Schizosaccharomyces pombe: one gene and its partner. The protein of the gene in region 1 interacts with the protein of each later gene in a pairwise test. Each region holds a gene or a part of one and is shown on either strand. Other genes may lie near its edges. The genes, in order: nak1 and sog2.

The links.
Region 2: the proteins of nak1 (region 1) and sog2 interact in a two-hybrid assay, tested with the Schizosaccharomyces pombe proteins (one study listed by BioGRID).

What each region holds. Positions count from the first base shown.
Region 1 is NC_003423.3:2,479,257-2,488,876, reverse strand, and holds nak1 (PAK-like kinase Nak1), read left to right. Parts: upstream 1-4,451; 5' UTR 4,452-4,556; coding exon 4,557-4,636; exon of another isoform or gene 4,637-4,687; coding exon 4,688-5,174; intron 5,175-5,239; coding exon 5,240-6,631; 3' UTR 6,632-6,810; downstream 6,811-9,620. Other genes in the region: SPOM_SPBC557.02C (uncharacterized protein), read left to right, coding at 1-552; Rho-type GTPase-activating protein Rga5, read right to left, coding at 985-2,070; SPOM_SPBC12C2.01C (uncharacterized protein), read right to left, coding at 6,990-7,946; target of rapamycin complex 2 subunit ste20, read right to left, coding at 8,809-9,620.
Region 2 is NC_003423.3:3,552,020-3,561,933, reverse strand, and holds sog2 (leucine-rich repeat protein Sog2), read left to right. Parts: upstream 1-6,277; 5' UTR 6,278-6,451; coding exon 6,452-9,112; 3' UTR 9,113-9,254; downstream 9,255-9,914. Other genes in the region: SPOM_SPBC887.12 (P-type ATPase), read right to left, coding at 1-47; tRNA pseudouridine synthase Pus2, read right to left, coding at 1,146-1,212, 1,250-2,538; response regulator Mcs4, read right to left, coding at 3,092-4,660; SPOM_SPBC887.08 (uncharacterized protein), read right to left, coding at 9,384-9,632, 9,691-9,816.

The DNA of each region.
Region 1 (9,620 bases):
AATCAGCTTGAAAATGTAGACAAATCATCCATCCCTCTATCGAAGGCTCGGAAACCCTCTGATTTTGAGTTGAACAATTCTATAGAGGACGCAGAAAAAATTAAAACCTATCCCGCTGCCTTGAGGTACATCTTTGCCCTAAATTCCCGCCATCCCGAAAAGTTACAAAAATTAAGAAAGATGAAGGCTATGCAGGAACGTCAAGAGCGCAACTGGTCTCTGGAACGGCAGCGGCTAGTTCAACATTTTGAGTCGAAAACTAAGCTTCAAGAAATACTGAAACCGCTTTCCTCCGACCCTAAATTGAAACAACCGTCCAATTGTCTTAATGACCAGACCAACAATGATTCCGCTCAAACTTTAGATGACAATAGGGCTTTACAAGAATTTGATGAACAAGTGGTACAATTGACAAACAGGATGTACAAAGAACAGCTTGCAATCCTTGCAGACCTGAAGATACCATTGTTTTTGTCAGTGAATAATGATGAAGAGTTATCTGAAGATCAGAAGCGCCTCTTACAATTGTTACAGGATCTCCTTGGAGCCTAATAAAGTATAGATTGATAAATCCTTTCTGGTTACAATGTCGTTGTTGTTTTCATAAAAGTTTCTTTGTACAGATATATGGACACCAAATTAATAAAAATTTAAAATTACGAAAGTAGCTGAAAGCTGTCAGATAAATTTACTATGTAGATAAATATATTGATCTACCAAAACAAAAAACAATTACAAAAAACAATAACGAATTGGATAATTTGTTCTTACTATGGTTAAGTAGAACTTCTAAAATGAAAATGGCTGAATACAAAGAAAAAAACATAAAACGACAGTAGCGGTATCCAGCCTAAATGCAAATCCCAATAAAACTAAAAGAGCGGACGGTAACAACTAAGTATATATGTACAAAAAGATTCTTCGCCATACAACCAAGGACAAAGACAATTAAACTAGATAAACAGAGAAAAACAATTAAAAGTATTACATACGATTTTCCCTCCGGCGATCAAGTGTATGGAAAAGCTTCATAGATGAGCTTCTAGACAATGAATACGAACGAGATTTGATTCTTGGGGGTGAACCAGGATCCACCTCGGAGCTTTTCATGTTTGAAAAATTTGAACTCGGACTATTGGAATAAGTGGCACTAGAATGACGACTAAAAGAGCGCCAACGCTTAATGGATCCATTTCTTGGATTAAAAGAATTAATCCTAATGGATGTCGAGGCTATAGGAGTAGGTGCAGCAGATTGCGTAATTAAAGTAGAAGAAGTATTTGGAGAAGTAGGCGCAGCTACCAGAGGAGGTAGTGAAGACAAAGGAATGGTTTTGATAAAGCTTCCTTGATGATTGATAAGGAACAAAAGAGCCGTTTGCGATATTTGATAATCTTTTGAGTAAACCTCGTGATCAGGATGAGATAGAATTCCAGGTTGGAAAATAGCAGCCAAATTATCAGCAGTCATCAGGTTCTTCGACGAGTTCATCGCAAAAACGGAAAGTAAGTCCAGTAAATAAAGTAAAAGCTGGCGATTTGGAATCGGTAATTCATCAATGCGTCGACGATACATTTCCACTCGCTCATTGTCTGTAAGATTGGGAATTGTCATGGGTTCACGAAACCTTTCATAATACTCCAAAGGAATCACATGCTCTGGCATTAGATTGATGAATCTCCGAAAAACATTGGCAGCATCATGAACTGTGTATCCTTCCCAATCAAAACTTCGGCCATAATCCGGGCCTGTACTGAAAGCTTTTTGGAGAATTTGGATTCGTTTGGAAGAACCATTAACGCGAAAAATTCCCTTTACTTGGGTAGCATTTTGTTTAAGAAAAAACCCGCACTTAGCAACGACAGCGGGAATGTAGCCATAAAATACTTTCTCACCGTCTCGGCGTGTCAGAAAGATAGCGACCTTCGATACTTCCAAAGCCCTTGTAAGGCTCAGACCAAACAATTTATTGTCATCTGACTTTTTAACCCGCAATTGCTTCCACCAGCTAGCGAATGATGACTTTTTCCCCATATCGTCAATCTGTAGGACTCCTACGACAACAGTCATGAACAATGGCTATTGTAATAAAAATTGAAAAACTTAACAAATGAAAACAATAAAAAAAAGAATTCAATGAGGAAAATGAGATAACAGACAAAAGATTTAAACCCAAATACAATGAAAGAATTGTAGATGTGTAAAAAAAAAGTAACCGATAAATTGACACTCTTTAAAATTGAATAACAATTCTGTTCAACTCAAATAACACTGTTCTCCACTAGATGGGTAAACTTAACTTAATAAATTGCGCTTTTAGAATTATTTGTTGTATTGTGTACAAAGCAGGTTCACACTACGGGGTTGGTAAGTACTAGTTAGCTATTGCAAGGTGGGTGTCGCAGTTTCACAGCCGGTACTTCCGAGGATGCTCGGGGAAGGCAAATCCTCTAATAAAATACCAAACTACTCGCTTGGTTACTAATTTAAAGGAATTTATAAGTCGTTCAAGCGAGCAACTCGTAAAGAGAGAGGCTTAGCATTGTCCTGTACGCATTAGCGTGCCAATATCGTATACTGACCTTTGGATGATGGAATGATTTTACCATACGATTCGATACATTCCTTAACACTTCGGAGAAAACAAACATTCTGCTTGCGATAGCGAAGATTTTGCAATTTTACGATCATGGCACATTAGCGTTAGTGTCAGTAGGAAGTGTGCTGATACCACCCATCCCAGATTAGCAGTGCAAAGTGGGCTCATTAAAGGACGAGTTGAAAGTCATGTTCCTAGGAAATATTTGAATTGCGAATTCTTACAAGTCAAACTGACGAGTTTTGACAATGAAGAATGCCCTCCCCTTGGTTGTTGGTATACTGTTTTTATTGATAAATAAAAGTACCATGTCTCTCTGTACATACAACTACGATTTTCGATATACAGGAATGTTTAGATAATTAATCTTTTAAGAGAAATTCTTTTAGTAATGCAAATTTCTATGATTGTATAATATGCTTGAAACTGTGATTTGTCTGGGGTTTTCTTTTTTGTTATATTTTTATTATGTACAACGACTCTTGTTCACCCAGGTCGAAGAGCTAAGGGTCGCTCATTTCTATATTTCTTTCAAGTTTCCTTTTTTTGCTTAATACATTATCATTTGATTGTTGCGATTGATTGTTACAATCGATCGCTCGCACCGATAATCTCAATTAAGCTCAGCGTGTTGACTTACTTTATCTAACCTTTAAAATAGGTCATCGCTACAAAAATTAGTAAACGAAAGAATAAAGAAAATACAAATCCTTCAATTGATTTCTCGTTTTACTCCCTTTTTACTCGGCAATGTAATAATAAATTAATAATATACATTACATTATTTTTATTTACTACACTTTTAAAATAGCGATGTGGGTATTGGACGCATCAAATCAATTCATTGAATTGAAAGTCTGTAAATACCGGGATTTGTCATCCCATCAAACAAAACTAAGCTGCCCTCAAGAAATTGTACAAAAATTTAAAATTTCTTTGACTAGCTCCTATTATGCGATTGTTTCGTCGAATATTTTATATGATCGGTTCGAAACGATAGCCATGCAAGATGAGCAGCAACAGTAATGCTCGTTAAATTAACTAAAAAGCAACTTATTACAAACCAATTGGTAATTTCATAAAAAAAATGAAATGGTTTGGAGAACAGTGTACAAGCTAATGGATAGCATACTAAACGTAACACACCAGACAACCATGCATACTCGGATTTACATAATCAACTTAGTATCTTTATCTTAAGATACAAATTAGTATTTTACGCAAATTCTCAAAAATCGACCGAGTAAATAAGTAATGTCATCTCATTTTATTATTTACTACGAAAATCAGCATATTTGTAAGGTGAGAAGCTTTCAGCTCTTAAGCTTAGATAGTGGAAATTTTGCAATCCGTAAAATGTAGATTGTGAGAAGGATCTTATATGATTGTATGCATTATGTAAAGTTGGTTTACGAATATGGGCTTTAAATATCCTTGGATATAAACAAGACATTGGGTACTACTATAACTGTATAAATTGTTTACAATTTGAACTGAGGAACAAAAATTCGGTCGATTTATTTTAAAGGATTTTAGTCTTAAAGATAATTACTCTCAAAGAACGGATATATATCCGCTGCGGAACGGAAATATAAATAACTACAGATTATATACTGATTAACGACATAGCGTAGTAGAAAAATACAGATAAGATATCGTTAGTTTTACGTTACGCTAAACTCGATAAGATATTCTCATTTCTCCTGCTAAATTTGCTGTATTTTTCCTCGCAAAGCTTCGGTATTGAAAAAAAATAGTATAATAAGTTGTTTGTTATTTAGGGATTGCACAAATTGAGTATTATAGTAAACAGTTTTTCAATATATATCTACTCAATTCCTTCGTACCCGCTACCACCAGCAGTATAGAAAAAGTGAAAGGGAATTGAAGGAGTTTGAATTGAACCTGTTCAATTAAAATTCTTCATGTATCTGCTAAGCAGCTAAAGTTATTAGAAATGGAAAATAACACTGCTTCTTCGCCGTACACAAAATTAGAATTGGTGGGACGCGGTTCGTACGGCGCAGTCTATAGAGGGTATGAATATTATTCGAGTGATTCTTTTCTACATTTTCTAACATTCTAAAGAATTTGCAATTTAACGAAAGAGACTGTTGCCATCAAGATTCTTAATTTGGATACCGATGAGGATGAAGTCTCTGATATTCAGAAAGAAGTCGCTGTTCTTAGTGAATTGAAACAGTCCGATGTCGAAAACATTATAAAGTATCATGGCTCTTATTTGGTAGGTACTAATTTATGGATTATAATGGATTATTGTCATGGAGGTAGCGTGCGTACTTTGATGGAGGCTGGTCCCATTAGTGAACCATGCATATCTTTGATCCTTAGAGAGACCTTACAGGCATTAAAATTTATTCATCATGCAGGTATCATCCATCGTGATATAAAAGCTGCCAACATCCTAGTTTCCATGTCTGGAAATGTCAAGCTATGTGACTTTGGCGTTGCTGCCGAACTAAACATCAATCGCCGAAAGCGAATCACGTTTATTGGAACGCCTTATTGGATGGCACCAGAAGTTATTCGAGATGGTCAGGAATATAATGTTATGGTATGTTTCGTTGCTGATTACTTATAGCCCTTTACCTATTCCACAAAATTATTAACAAAGTTTAGGCTGACATTTGGTCGCTCGGAATCACTGCATATGAAATTGCTACTGGATCTCCACCTCATGCCAAAGAGGATCCTTTTCGTGCCGTTTACCTAATCGCTCACACCGCACCCCCTAGACTCAATGGAAATTTTAGTGCTCTTTTAAAAGAATTCATTGCCTCTTGTTTGCAGGATGTCCCTCAGAGGAGATTAGATTCTTCCGAACTTTTGAAATCAAAATTTATCAAACAATATTCTCGCATGTCTATTTCTGAACTTACCAATGTTGTAAAACGCTATGACACTTGGCAGGCTGCTGGCGGCATACCCCAAACGCTACTCTTGGGTGAAGAAGCCGATGATGGAAGCGACCCTGATCAGGAAACCTCCGACACCGCTGCTTCTGATGATGGTTGGGAATTTGGCACTATTAAACAAGGTCAAAGTAACGTTTCATCCATCACTGGCACTTCCACCTCCACTACTACCGCTGCTACTTCCTCCACTACTGTAACTGGAACTGTAATTCCAAAATCTTCCACAGTGCATGAACCCCCTTCATCTAATGATTCCCATCCGTTATTACAACTTTTTAAGGATTCAAAGATTTCGGATGATGATTCTCCCAGTAACGCTGAAGGAGCTTCTACTGAGGATTCCAAAGGTGAAGTATCTTATTCTCAAATCGAATTACCTAGCTTAGATTCCTCAAATCTATCCTCCAAAAAATCAACCATTCAATCGAAACACACTAAGCAAGCTGAAGATTACGATTTGTTTGTAGGTCGCACACGCTCAAATTCCAAAACCTCATCGGATCAAAGTATCAAACGACCCCTGCCTCGAGTTGTGCAACGTCAAAAAACTTCTCTTGGAAAACGAGGAATATCCATGTCACCAATGAAGCCGGGTCTTCGTATGCCATCCTCATTCGACCTCCAATCTAGAAGTATATCGATGGGCGCATTTGAACAACTATCTACACCATTAGAAGCGCCAGCGCATAAACATTCGGCAGTGCTACAGCCATTAGAGGTTAATAGGTCAATTAGTATACCTCCTCCGAAATCGATTTCTCCCTCTATTTTGCATAAACCTAGTCTTGAATCCGCTAGTTCTACTCCTAAAATTTCCTCCTGTTCGTCCACTCCTAAGCCATTTAATTCGAAATTAAGAGCTCATTTACCCCCTTTATCCATTGGCTCACCGGCCGTTCAACCATTAGCAAATGATAATTACGATTCTCTGGGGGTTCGAGGTCTAAATATGGAATTATTTAATGATTATCCAGGTAATATGCACAATATAAAGTCTGTATTGAGCTTAGAAATAGACATCGTTTTGGGAGAAATGGACGCTTGTCTAAAGAGCTTGGAATGTAATCTTTTAAACAGAAAAGCATATAATGAATAACTGTTTATGATGCTTTTAGTCCTTTCATAATATAATCTTTAATTTATTTAATGTTTTAACTTCTCTTTTTTTGCTAATATATTCGTTCATCTTTTATGAAAATCTAAATTGTTGAGATAATGATGCCAAATACAGAACATTTAAATTAAAATAGTGCCCACGGTTAAGGAATAGAGTCGTAAATTTATTGTCGTGATAATAACTAAAGAACAAGATGAGGGATAATTTAATTTATATGAGTTACAATTTGAACGAAAATTACAATGATTTAATTTACCTTACTAAATACCCAAACAGTAGAAATCTTAATATTGTATTTAAATAACCATCCAAATGAACCATTTTTATTACCAAAGCATCAACCCGTCGAGGAAAACTTTAACTTGCTACAAATCGAGTGTAGTCTATCGTAAAACCGTAACTTTTGTTCTGTATTCACAAAATTTATTGCCTGTATCATCGCATATTCCTGCATAGTTTCAGTCCCATGAAGAAGTAAAACCATCAATAACTTTTCGGAGGGAAAATGTTGGGAAAAGCAGAGCGATAGGAAAATCTTTTGAGCTGTTTCAAATTTTCGTTTTCGTAAGAACCACTCTAAAAGAGTTGTTTTCAATTCATAAGAAGCAGGAAGAGCCAATAACTCCATATGTTTTAATAAATAAAAACTAGTCCTAAGCCTATTTTTTTGAAGTAGAAAGTAACGAATAGTTAAAGTGAACATCCTCGATCTAAGAAAAGGATCATACTTCCTTCCAAAAAAAATCAGACGAACACAATTTTCCTTCATCTCTGCTGACACATTTGGCGCGTTTATAAGATCGTGTAAAAAAGCATTAAGTTTAGAAGAGCTATTGAGATGAAGTAAGCGTATTCTGTCTTTTAGATCATTTGTGTCTTTAACATTTTGAAGCTCATTTAGTAGCTTTAAATGTGATTCTCGATATTGTGAAAATCGAGACTTAAAATCTGAAAAATTACTCATGGAAGACATGATTTTATAGGGTATCGGTTCAGCTTTACATGGAGAAAGAGCTTCACTGGTATTTAAATCACGAAATTGTTTTGTGCTATACTGTCGAAAGTAGCAACATGAACAACCAACATTATGATTGCTTACAATCGTAGCTGTCATGCGCCGTGCTTTTAGTAAAGGGGAAAATGCATTCACAGAATAAAACTTTTTTGGTGTGTTTGGTAAGGGAATAAAAAAATGAATATTTGCAAAGTTTTTGACATCGAAGGACCGTGATTTTCTTAAAGAATGAGAAGAAATCAAGCTTAGACGAAGTAACCTGTATGTCACATTGTACATAGCAAGAAAAAAAAAAAATCAATAATGTTCCATAGAAATAAACCCTTAAACGTACTTCCTTCTTTTGTCTATTAAACAAATCCGAAAACCTATCGAGTTATGTAGTCAAAAGAGTGTAAAAACCCAAATATATATATATATATTTTTTTTCAAATTATATTTATAAATTTATTTCCTTTTTTTTAAAGAATAATCTTCTTCCTTGCGAACAACCAAAACAAATTAAAACCAAATGCGATGTTGTATGAGATTTACTTGTGAGCAGAAATATGCCCAAACTCCACGATATGTTAAGCAAATACACTTTCGTTTAGTTATATAGGATTTGCTAATTTACTATAACATGAGGCTGCCGTTCGTTGCATACGTTGTATGTGGAAGTTGAGCATAACTTGCTAAGCATGGGTATTACATATAAGTACACCTTTGTGGTACGCAATTTTTATATTGATAATAACAGCGTACAAAGTAAAAATTAGCACGAAAAGATGAAAGGCAATATATTCTTGTTCATATTACTATCGTATGGAGGCCAGGGGCTAAGCAGGCCTACCTAAACTACACAAATTCAAAAAAATATCCGCAAGTATCAGACATGTCTTATAAATATTAGATTAATAATTTAAACATCCAAAAACAATTATAAACTCATTACTAACCCTAGCGCAATCACCTTTTATGTAAACACTAGTCTAACTTAGTAAATAAACTTATGAAAAGAAACAAAGAGGGAAGGTCAAAGAATAAGCAGAAAACTAAAGATCAAACTTATTGAATAACAGAAGAAAAACGATAATAAGAAATCATAAAAATCATTAATTTACAAAAATTTTAGAAAAGTGAAGGTTCGGAAATTTGGAGTTCATGCGGAAATTGACAAATTATTCGGCCTGGACGGGGATTCATTTAAGTCCTGTGAGGTTGAGGAAGACAATAAAACCGAGTAAGGAAATAATTCAAATACAAATTGTTGAATCTGAACACGGTAATGGAATTTTCCCAGAATGGTCATACAAGCTTTCACCAAACGTTTAGAGGAGAAAACTTTAGCATTTTTCGAACGAATCTTTGTTAGTTGCCGTGCTGACTCGTTTGTTAAAACATGGTTTGACAAATTGGAAACGAGCCTAATTACCTCTCTCTCTGAGTTAGTTAAAGAGCTAAGTAATGAAGAAAACTCAGGAGTTGGCACGCGCTCATTTACAAACTCAACATTTCTCCTTGGAGTTGATAATACTTGTCCAGCATGTCTCGGAATGCAAATTCCTTGTGAAGTGCCCATTAAAGACATAAGGCTATACCAATGCAGTGATTCGAGTATCTCAACGCCTTTAGAAGTCCTGGAAATCAAGCCTAATACAAAATAAGCAGTTCCTCGAACAGTAGGAATCAATGAATTTTCGGCATATTTGACAATCAACGGTATCGTATCATGGTTAATTAAAAACGTAATACCCTGATCGGTTTTTCCAATGTTTCCTATAGCCCAAAGAGCACTCTTTAACTGCCTGATGGCTTCATTTCCTAACGGTTTATCGTAAAATTCCACCAAGGTACCCATAAAAGATTCAAAATGCCCAGAAGACTCGAGAACCTCACAACCTTGTGGAGATTTGACTAATTCGCCATAAAAGTGTAGGGGAAGTATATTTTCATCTGGTTCATTGTTTTTCT
Region 2 (9,914 bases), 1.1 Mb from region 1:
CGTGATATCCTTTTAGCATTTTGCTTATTATCTACATCTCGGGCCATTGATATTTACAAGATATTAACAATGCAAATGATATGCGCAGAAAAAGCAAAGATAGGACGTATTTTCAATTATCCTTCTTAGAATTAATAAATAATGTTTTTTTTTTAGAACGACAATCACTTAAAAACTCAAAGAATGCGAATTGTATTAAGAGTATCGTCGCAGGAGTATATGAAATGGCGGAGTGTTGAACTGACATAACACTGAGGAACGTAAAAATACAAACCACACGTATTGTAAACAAAAGGTTCATTTGAACGCCAAACTAAACTTCACTTTCAATAAAACAAAAGAATTGATCTCTCCAAAATCTTATAAGTAAAAATTCCTACTTATAAAGTAGTTTAAAATACTATTTTAAATCAAAAGTTTGGAAATAGATTGGATAACGATATACCACATTAAAAAGACAAATGTTTTTACCATTATATGGCATACTAAGTGCCTCTAAAGGTCGCATATTCAGAAACAGTAACTATAAAGGAAGAGTAAACAAATGAAATTTAGAGTCACTTACAATAACTAAGTTCACATTTATTTAAAAATTTACAAATATATCAATCACTAGTAATCGCAATTTTACAGCAAAAGTAAAAGGGAAAGACATTTCATTTATTGGATTAATCTGTCTTGATGCTCGTAGGGGCCAACTTGTTATGAAGATACAAGTAGTCCGATATATCATCAAATTTGTTCTTGCTAGGGTTTAGCAACCTTCTTCAGGGAAAATGAAATCTAAAGAAGGTGAATAAACTAGCTTCGAGCGAATGAACATTTTCATTTCCAGTTTTGCAAATTTATCTACATGAGAGCACGATTTAAAATAAGATATATCAGTTTGAATTAGAAAAAACCTAAACTAATTACTCTGCTATTTACGAAGTGGTTAATATGTGTATATACGTTAGCGCTACCTAAACCTAACAGGGCGTGTGACTGGAATATTCTTATAGGGTAGGGTTTTTGCTTAGTAGGAATGCTTGACAATTGCAAAAAATTAGCTTGCTTGCAGCAGTAGGTTTACAAAGAAAGAGACGAAATGGCTTTAAATTGTAATTATCTATTTGTCAAAATAGACTGTGAGTGTCTTGAACATTTCATCCAAATAAATAATCAAATTGATGTCCAGTATGTTGATCGATATAAGACAGGAAACTGAAAAATCTAGCATGTTAATGTCGTATGTAAATAAAGCACTTACAGTTTCTCTTTTTGTTCTAACTTAATTATGTCGGGGTAAATAGTTTTAATTTTTAAGGACAGAATGTCTTCTTCAAAGCAATCAAATTGAATTTTTTCTAGACCATCTGTAACAGAATCGTTATAAGAAGAAAATTTAATATCTTTTAAAAGAAGAACATGACCTGGACTTTTACTAATGTTCATCGTTATATTTGGATCGAACGCTTTGTCTATTAATCCCGTAGGAGCACAGCTTCGTATAATCATCAGAACATGAGCCATCATTTTACGAATCTGATTTAGCATAAAAGAATTACCTTTAATCGTAACAGGAATCCATTCCCAGTTTTCATAAACAAAAGGAGTTCCGCAAGTAACACTCTCAATGAATCGATAATTACTTGGTGATGTGGAGTCATCAGTGACAGTAAAGTTATGAAAATTATGCCGGCCTTCGTATTTCTTTAAAAGCTGTTGTAAAACCTTTAAACGATCCTCTTTTATACGATAATTCATATAGCAATAATATTCAGCTTGCTTTAAAGCCTTCTTTAATTTTGCTTGGGGAGGTATTACAATCCCAGCCGGAATAGGCTTTTCATAGAACATACCTTTAAATGGGTTAGTGAATGCATCTTTATTAGTATCAAACATTTCTTGTATTTCCTTCTGCTTAAGCTTCACTGTATTCCAAAAAGAAATCAAATCGTTCATTGAATAAACTAAATTTCTTTCTAACTCATTATCCAGTTTTCTTGATAAGTTTTTCTGCATTTTTTTAAAAAGAGGACAAGAGGGCTTAGGAGGAAGTAAAGCAAAAGAAGGAATTAAGTATTCATATGTCCTTGACTCGCAAGAAATCCTAGGATTAAAGTACTTTGGCGCAGGAAAGACACTCCACACACGAATTTGAGAACAAAGTGCTTCATTCAACTCAGTTTTAAGTAAGGAAATATCTAGTGGCTTATCGACAAAAAGATTTAATGATATTAAATTTCTTAATGTATGGACCCCTTTGTCTGTTCTAGCTGCTCGCGCAATACACAAATGTTCAGCATCAATGTTATTTGTTTTTAAATAGCCCAATTTTTTAAGTACAGCTACAACATCTCCTTCAATTGTTTTAAGGGGATTATTTATTTGAATCCCATGGTAACCATAACCAGAATATCCCAATAAAATGATGATACGAACTTTGTTAGATTCTTTTGTGCCCTCGATTTTTTCTCGCTTTGGTAATTTTGGTGTTTCTAGATCCTCTGCGGGTATATGCTCCTGTTGATTTTTTCTTTTCGAGATAGAAGTCATTTTTTATAAAACAAATCTTCTAAAAAAATTTAAAGAAAAAAAAAACACCACAGTTTACTATTAATTACAAAAACGTATTAAAACAAAAGACACAGAAAATATTGGTGTTTAAGTGTGGTATGGACGCAATCAAGAATGATGCACACGAGATTGAAATACGCTCATTTTTTAGCGACATATTAAAAGTCTTTACAACTAAAATATTAGATACGAAAATAAGATATCCTACTTTATTATCTTTGTAGATGAATAACGAAATTTTGGAGTTTTAATGTACAACATAATATTAGGTAAATCAGAAAGTGTTTAGTTATAAGGATAACACAATTAGCAATAAGTATCTATGACAAGCTGATCCATTAATAATTAAGGCAGGTAATTAGGTAAAGGAAAAGAGGAAATTATTTTGCTAGCAAACCATAGCGTCCGACAAATTGATAACCAAAAGATTAATTTTATACAATAAAAGATTACGGAAATAAAATGAGCGGAGCTCGACTTATTGTGGTGAACAGAACAAAACACAGTGATACAAAATTTGGTAAGGCTAATATCATCGACCGCGAAAACGGCACCAACCATTCCAATCAATAAGCGCTTGCATACAGCCCCACTCCGTAATTTTTTTCTCTAGCCAAACTAAAGAGACAGGCTTTGTAAGAAAATCATTGCAACCAGCAGCTAAAGCCTCGTTTCGATCAGCCATTAGGCTAGAAGCAGTAAGTGCCACTATAATCACAGGAGATTGAAATTTGTTTTCATTTAGCTGATCCTTTTCAGGTATCGGTTGTGTCAATTTTGGAGCACCAACTCCAATTGCGTTTAACCGCTCAAGTCTCCTAATTTCTTGGGTGACTTCAATACCGGACATCGTGGGAAGTTGGATGTCCATTAGAATCAAGTGAAAAGATTTCTTTTTCCACTTCTCGAGTGCTTCAAGCCCATCTTTAGCAACCTCCGAGGAAATATTGCGCTTCTTCATAAAAGTCTCTAGGATTTTTTGATTAATAATATTATCTTCAACAATCAAAACGTTAATTGGAGGAATCACTCCTTCAAGTAGACTAGCAAAAGGTGCTTTCGCACCTATGCCGGGACTTGTTAGAACATTGACTGGTGAAGTACCAACAATTCCATCTATTTGATTAGAAGGAAATCCTAAATGGGCTTGTGTATCAGCATTTAAGGGATCTTTGTTGTCTGCTATAGGAAATTGAGAACTGATATCAGGGTTCATCCTATTTGCTGCGTCAATATCAGCATTAACCGCGGGAAGGACTCCTGCGGTACCAGATTGTTTCGTATAAAGCGATGAATGACTAATACTTCTACTATTAGTGGGTGTCGCGACTTCGGCTTTCGCCAATTTTTCAGCTGTTGATTCATCAGACCGAGTCGACATTCCAATAGAATTTTTTCTAGTAATGGATTCGGCTTCGTCTGATGGTTGCGACTTGTCAGCTGAAGTTAGATCTGGTAAAGAGGGTCTTGAAGCCAATGTTTGCTGTCTAGAAGAACGAGGCAAAAGTAGTACGCCAGTTTTATTTACATTAGAGGAAGGAAGAGTTTGATGGGACCTAGTTCGGGATGCATTTCGTAAATTATAATTTAAAGGACCTCCTTTATAAGAATAAGTACTTTGATGTCGTGAAGGGGCAGAAACCGGGCTCTCAAGTGAATCAAGAGCAATGGATGGCTGTTTGATACGCGGGACTGTTTCGTTCGCTGGGGTAGGGATTATGTTAGGTGGGTATTCAGAAAAAACGGGAGGTGTTGATTCAAATGTAGAGGATGAGAGTTGAGAAGAGCGATATCTTAAGGCAACTGAGGTATCCGGCGACGCTACTAGAAGCGCGTCGTTAAAATCCTGACCATGAGGATAATAAGTTTCCATGACAAATAATATGCTTTCGTTGGGACTGAGTTCTCTAGATTGCAACTCCGATGATGCATTTGGTGGAGCTACTACACGAATCGAAAGCTCAGGTGCATCATAATACTGACTGATACGAATAGGGAATTTCCGAGCGATGGCATCTTTTAAATCGTCAACCAGATGATCTTCAGACAATATAACGGAGGAAGTAATCCCATCTGGAACTTTTTTAAACCAAATGCGCATCTTCTATATATCTTCTTTCTTTTGACTTAACCTCAACTTTCCTATATACAGTATGAACAACCAAAACAGCCGCCTGTTTTTACGTTTAACATTCGATAGCTTCTTGTATAATCCCCTTCTATTTTAAATTTAATAGAAATATACAAGTATAAAATCACTGTTCGTGATAAGGAATGAGTAAGGTATGGTTCACGATACAATACGGCAAGCCTACTTAAGGTGTTGAGTTTCGTTACCTAGTCGTGCAACAAGCGCTGGGGATTTAGTAGAGTACTTAGAGTAACACCTTCCATCTGAGGACAAAAATCGAATAAATTTTAACACGTGAAAATAATAGGCACAGCTAAAACTGCGATTGTAAATTATACATTCTACGATACGAGCAAATAAGTATTCGTTTAAAAGGGATACTGTTGTGTTATTGACTTACTATTAGAATTCGACATTACTAAAATTTAACTAATTGAGTAATTGTTTCTGAAATTTATTCCTTATTTTAGATTTTATTTAAAGTATGTAGTTTAAAAAAAAAAAAAATTAAACGTTATACCCATACTTAGTTGGCTACCATTAATGGTCCTATTACTACTTGTCAGGTTTGGATATTTAATGACTCAGATTAAATGATTTAATCAACACAAACCAATATTTTTGAAATTCAAAAATAATGAGGCTTCAATTTCTCAATGAGAAACCAAAAAAAATTATTTTAGATAGTAACCCATTTAGTCATAGAAAAAAAAACCGTGTTTGATTATATGTACAATTTATCAACTCATTTATTTTTATCAGGTTCTTAAATCATAATGATAAACCTAGGCGATTCTATTAGGAAGCAATATATTAAGGACTAATAAAATAAACAATAAATATTAATGATTAGGAAATCAAACGCACCAAGATAATCAAATTGATAAACAAACTATAGATAAATGACAGAAATATTGAATCAACAAAATTGCAACTCATTCAAAAAGTTATCAATTTACACTTAAAGAATTATTTACCACAAAACATACTGTAGCGTTAGCATTTGTTGCTCCTGTTAATAACGACTTCTGATCTCGATGAACTCAAAAAGTTCGAACCAACATAATATAGCGAGTGCTTTTGATCATTCAAGAATTAGAAATGAATGCTAACAATACTACATTACAATTACGAATTACTATATGTCACATGTTCTGATTACCTATCGTCTTACAAATGATAACAATACGATGTAGATCCACTAATAAATTTTTTAATTTATTAGCTAGAAATGATAGATGTAAAATCAAAGGAACAACGTTCTTTAGTTCAGCTGTGGTGGTTTGTTTAGAGATAAATTACATTACCGCCTTCATACAAGGATATCCGTAACCCCCGTTATCATACAACCATATGTACCGCTATGTAGTGCACATACGAAAATCAAGTAGTCTAACATATCATTAATGATAATTACGAACTGCATAGCTAAAAAAAATAAAACGCAATATCAAACTTAACGAAAATATTTTGTGTAAACGTTAATAAACTGTAATTATTTTAAGGAAAAGTGCTTATTCACGTTGTTAAAATAAAAAAGTACAACCTACAGATGCGTACACAGAAAGAAGTGAGTTTATTCGTTCCGCGAACTAGCTTGGCAGTAAATTTTGGGGAATTGACTTTTGTACATTATAGCATACCATTGTGGATCAATTTTATGTTCATTGCATTTTTTTAGTAATTATTACTTCTTAGAGTTCCTTTTTTTTTCAACAAAACCTTCGGATTTACGTCTGAGGTGATCGATCTTTTCATGCTATGTCTGCTCATGAGGTGTCCTCCACAAAAAACTCAGAAATTGAAAGAATTATTAAAGAGGCAGAAGATGCGGGTCCTGAAAATGCACTTACGTTAGATCTATCTCATCTAAACTTGCGGGAATTACCTTATGAACAATTGGAAAGAATCCAGGGTCGGATAGCGAGACTAGCGCTAGGCCATAACTTTATAAAGAGTATTGGTCCTGAAATCCTAAAGTTTACTCGTCTCCGGTACCTAAATATTAGATCGAATGTCCTTAGAGAGTTTCCCGAATCTTTGTGTCGACTTGAGTCACTTGAAATTTTAGACATTTCTCGCAATAAAATCAAGCAACTGCCAGAATCCTTTGGAGCTTTAATGAACCTTAAAGTTCTTTCAATTTCTAAAAATCGTCTTTTTGAGCTTCCCACCTACATTGCACATATGCCGAATCTTGAAATTCTTAAAATTGAAAACAATCACATTGTGTTTCCTCCTCCGCATATCGCTAATAATGACTTGCAAGATTCTGATATGCAGTTGTTTATTGCCAATATAAAGGGATATTTGTCGCGAAACGAATCAGTCTTTAGAACGCGAAGTGAAAGTACTGTTTCCGCTGCTTTATCCGCTTCAGCTAATCTTAGTCACTCGGAAGAAAATGACTCCTCTGTGGTTGATTCTTACTTATTTAGTGCCCCATCAGATACTAGCCATGCGGTTTCACCTGGCATGCTGACGTTTGTCACGCCAAGTCCCCATTCACATTCTCCTGCCGGGCATCAACAGTCCACACCCAAATCGACTTTGTCAAAGACAAATGAGAACTCAGAAGGAACATTGTATGATTCAAATGTTGCTCATGGATGCACTCATCCTCCATCACTTAATCAATTAAACAAATTTCATCTAGATGCGTCGCCTAGACAAGCCCGTCCTCGTAGGTCAGTTTCTTTAGCTACTGGCCTCAATTCTCCTTCTGTTTCAAAACCACCTTCTTCTGCTACAGGACCATTGTACCATTCACCCCAAAGCTCACTCACCAATTCCTCCGTCGCTAGTGCAGACGTTCAAGAACGTACTCACAATACTAACGGCGCTAGCCCCATTCAAGACCAAATTTCAGAATTCACTGATCAACATCAAAATCCCTCAAATAATGATGCTGCTTCCACACAATCGATTCTAAAAACAGCTCCAACGCAGTTGAGTGCGAGTGCTAAAACATCAGCCATAAGTTTACCTGAGGTTGCCAAGAAAGAGCGTAATAGAAGCAATAGTACAAATGATGATTACTCTTCTACTAGACTTCCATCGAGTGTTTTACATCGTCTTGAAGCCCTTAAAGAAGCGCGCAAACTTTCTGAGCAATTACCAAATCGAATTTTTGCTCAAGATCCTCATCCTTCCCCTCGTTTGAAAAAAGAAGAAACGCATGAAAATGGCTCCAATTTGACAAATGACTCGGTCAACAGCTACTTCAGTAACATTGGAGGGAGTGAGGTTGAAATGAAGCACTCGGCCTTTGAAAAAACTTTAGAGTCGTCTAGGGGCATATTGTTTTCGCTTTCGCAAGTCCAACAAGCCCTTCGTCAGCAACTTCTTTTTTGCAGCAACCCCGTTGTTTTAGATTCTATGCGTCATGTGTTACATACTGCCAATGTTCAAATTAAGCGGCTAATTCTGTGCTTTGAGGATACCCAACAAAGCAATGATGGAACTGCAAACATTAATTCCATAGTAAACGCTTCATTGTCTTGTATCAGCTCGTTTCGTAAACTAATTGAAGTGACAAAAAAATTTTTAAATGAGCTCACTAGTCGTGCGGATGTCCGATATGTTCGGCTTTTACTGCTAATTCTTTTCGATGCTGCAAAGGAGTTACAAAACGCCTTGGTACCATTGAGTCCATCACAACCCCATAGTGGTAATAACATATTCGCCGATCAGGTACGTCAATCTCCGACAAGTATGATCCGGACTGCATCTGGGCTTACGAACAGAATCGTTAGCGTTGAAAAACCAGCATCAGTGATGAATCCTGAAATTGATAAACAAATACAAGATCAGGTCGCTTTAGCAACAAACAGTGCAATGTCAGTTTTGACATTACTAATTGATGCTGTTCCTAAAAATAACCAGCCTGATCTAGTAAATGAAAACATCGCACCCAATTTGATTAGTAAGTTACGTGAATTGGGATCATTATCCGCCGCCGCCTGTGATGTTACTAGAAAACTTAAGCATCGCCTTCTAACTTTTCAAACGAATCCGGAAGAATTGGAATGGCAGCTTTTTTTGGACGACACTCAAGCATTTGTCAAGTCTATTATTGCAGTCGCAAATTTAGCGAAAGCGTTATCCAGTGAATATACATTCCAAAAAAGCGTATTAGCTGGTCTTTCAGCTGCAACAAGATCTACAAAAGATCTTACTATCTTACTTTCTTCCTCTGCTCGACATTACACTGAGTCATCTTTAGCCACTCCTGTTCCTTTGATGTCCCCAATAGCCCGCGTACCTGCAACACCGTTGTCAGCGGCTCTGGGTTCGGCTGCTCAATCTATTACATCTCCTCTAATCATGTCACCAGCTGCAATTCCGGCGTCAGCCTATAGTACTAATAAAATCGATTACTTTACTGACGCGGATGGGAACGTGGAAGGTTTACAGCGCTAAAGAATTTTTTAATGAAGATTGATGAGGAATAATTGGTAACTCGATAACTCAAAAGCCTACAAAGACTATAAATTTAATGATACAAAAAATGATGCACGATTGAATTTGATTAATTTATTTCTTATTCAAATAACAAAACCAAGGACAAATTGTAAAGGATGATGGTACAAGTAGTGATTAATCTGTTTCCACATGAAAATCATGTACAAAAATTAGACAGAGTGTGTAGTTTTGGGTAGGTACTCTTTGACAAGACAAAAATTTTTTCTAATTAATTGCTTTGCTTATTTTCAAGTTTCATTTCGCATCTTCTGATGATGTCTTCAATTTCATTGATTTCGCCTGAACTCAGTCTGTGGTACTCAATGCTGGAACTATCAGTTGGAACATCAAGTGCTTGAAATGCAAACTTTTTAGCTAAGGAATAGTTTCCCAGATAATATTGTTCTTCCGCTGCAAATTTTGATTGCTCTAAAATATAGGCTTCTTCACCGAGGACGACGCCATTTTTACTAAGATGCTGAATAATCTGTTAAAATCATAGACAATAAATTGGGAGTAAAAAATGAGTAACATACACCAAAACATTGAACTCTTGGAGTCCATCCATCAGTTTCAATGCTTACTTTCTGTTTTAATCGCTTATTCCGTTCAAGCTTTGACTCACTAACATCAAAATCCAAATCAATCGCCAGCAAATCCATTCTTACTAGAACATTAAATTCTTTTGATCGATCAGATATATTTAACAGATAATGGACTATATAATAAAGCCTGCTACAGCTGTATTTTACTAAAAAAG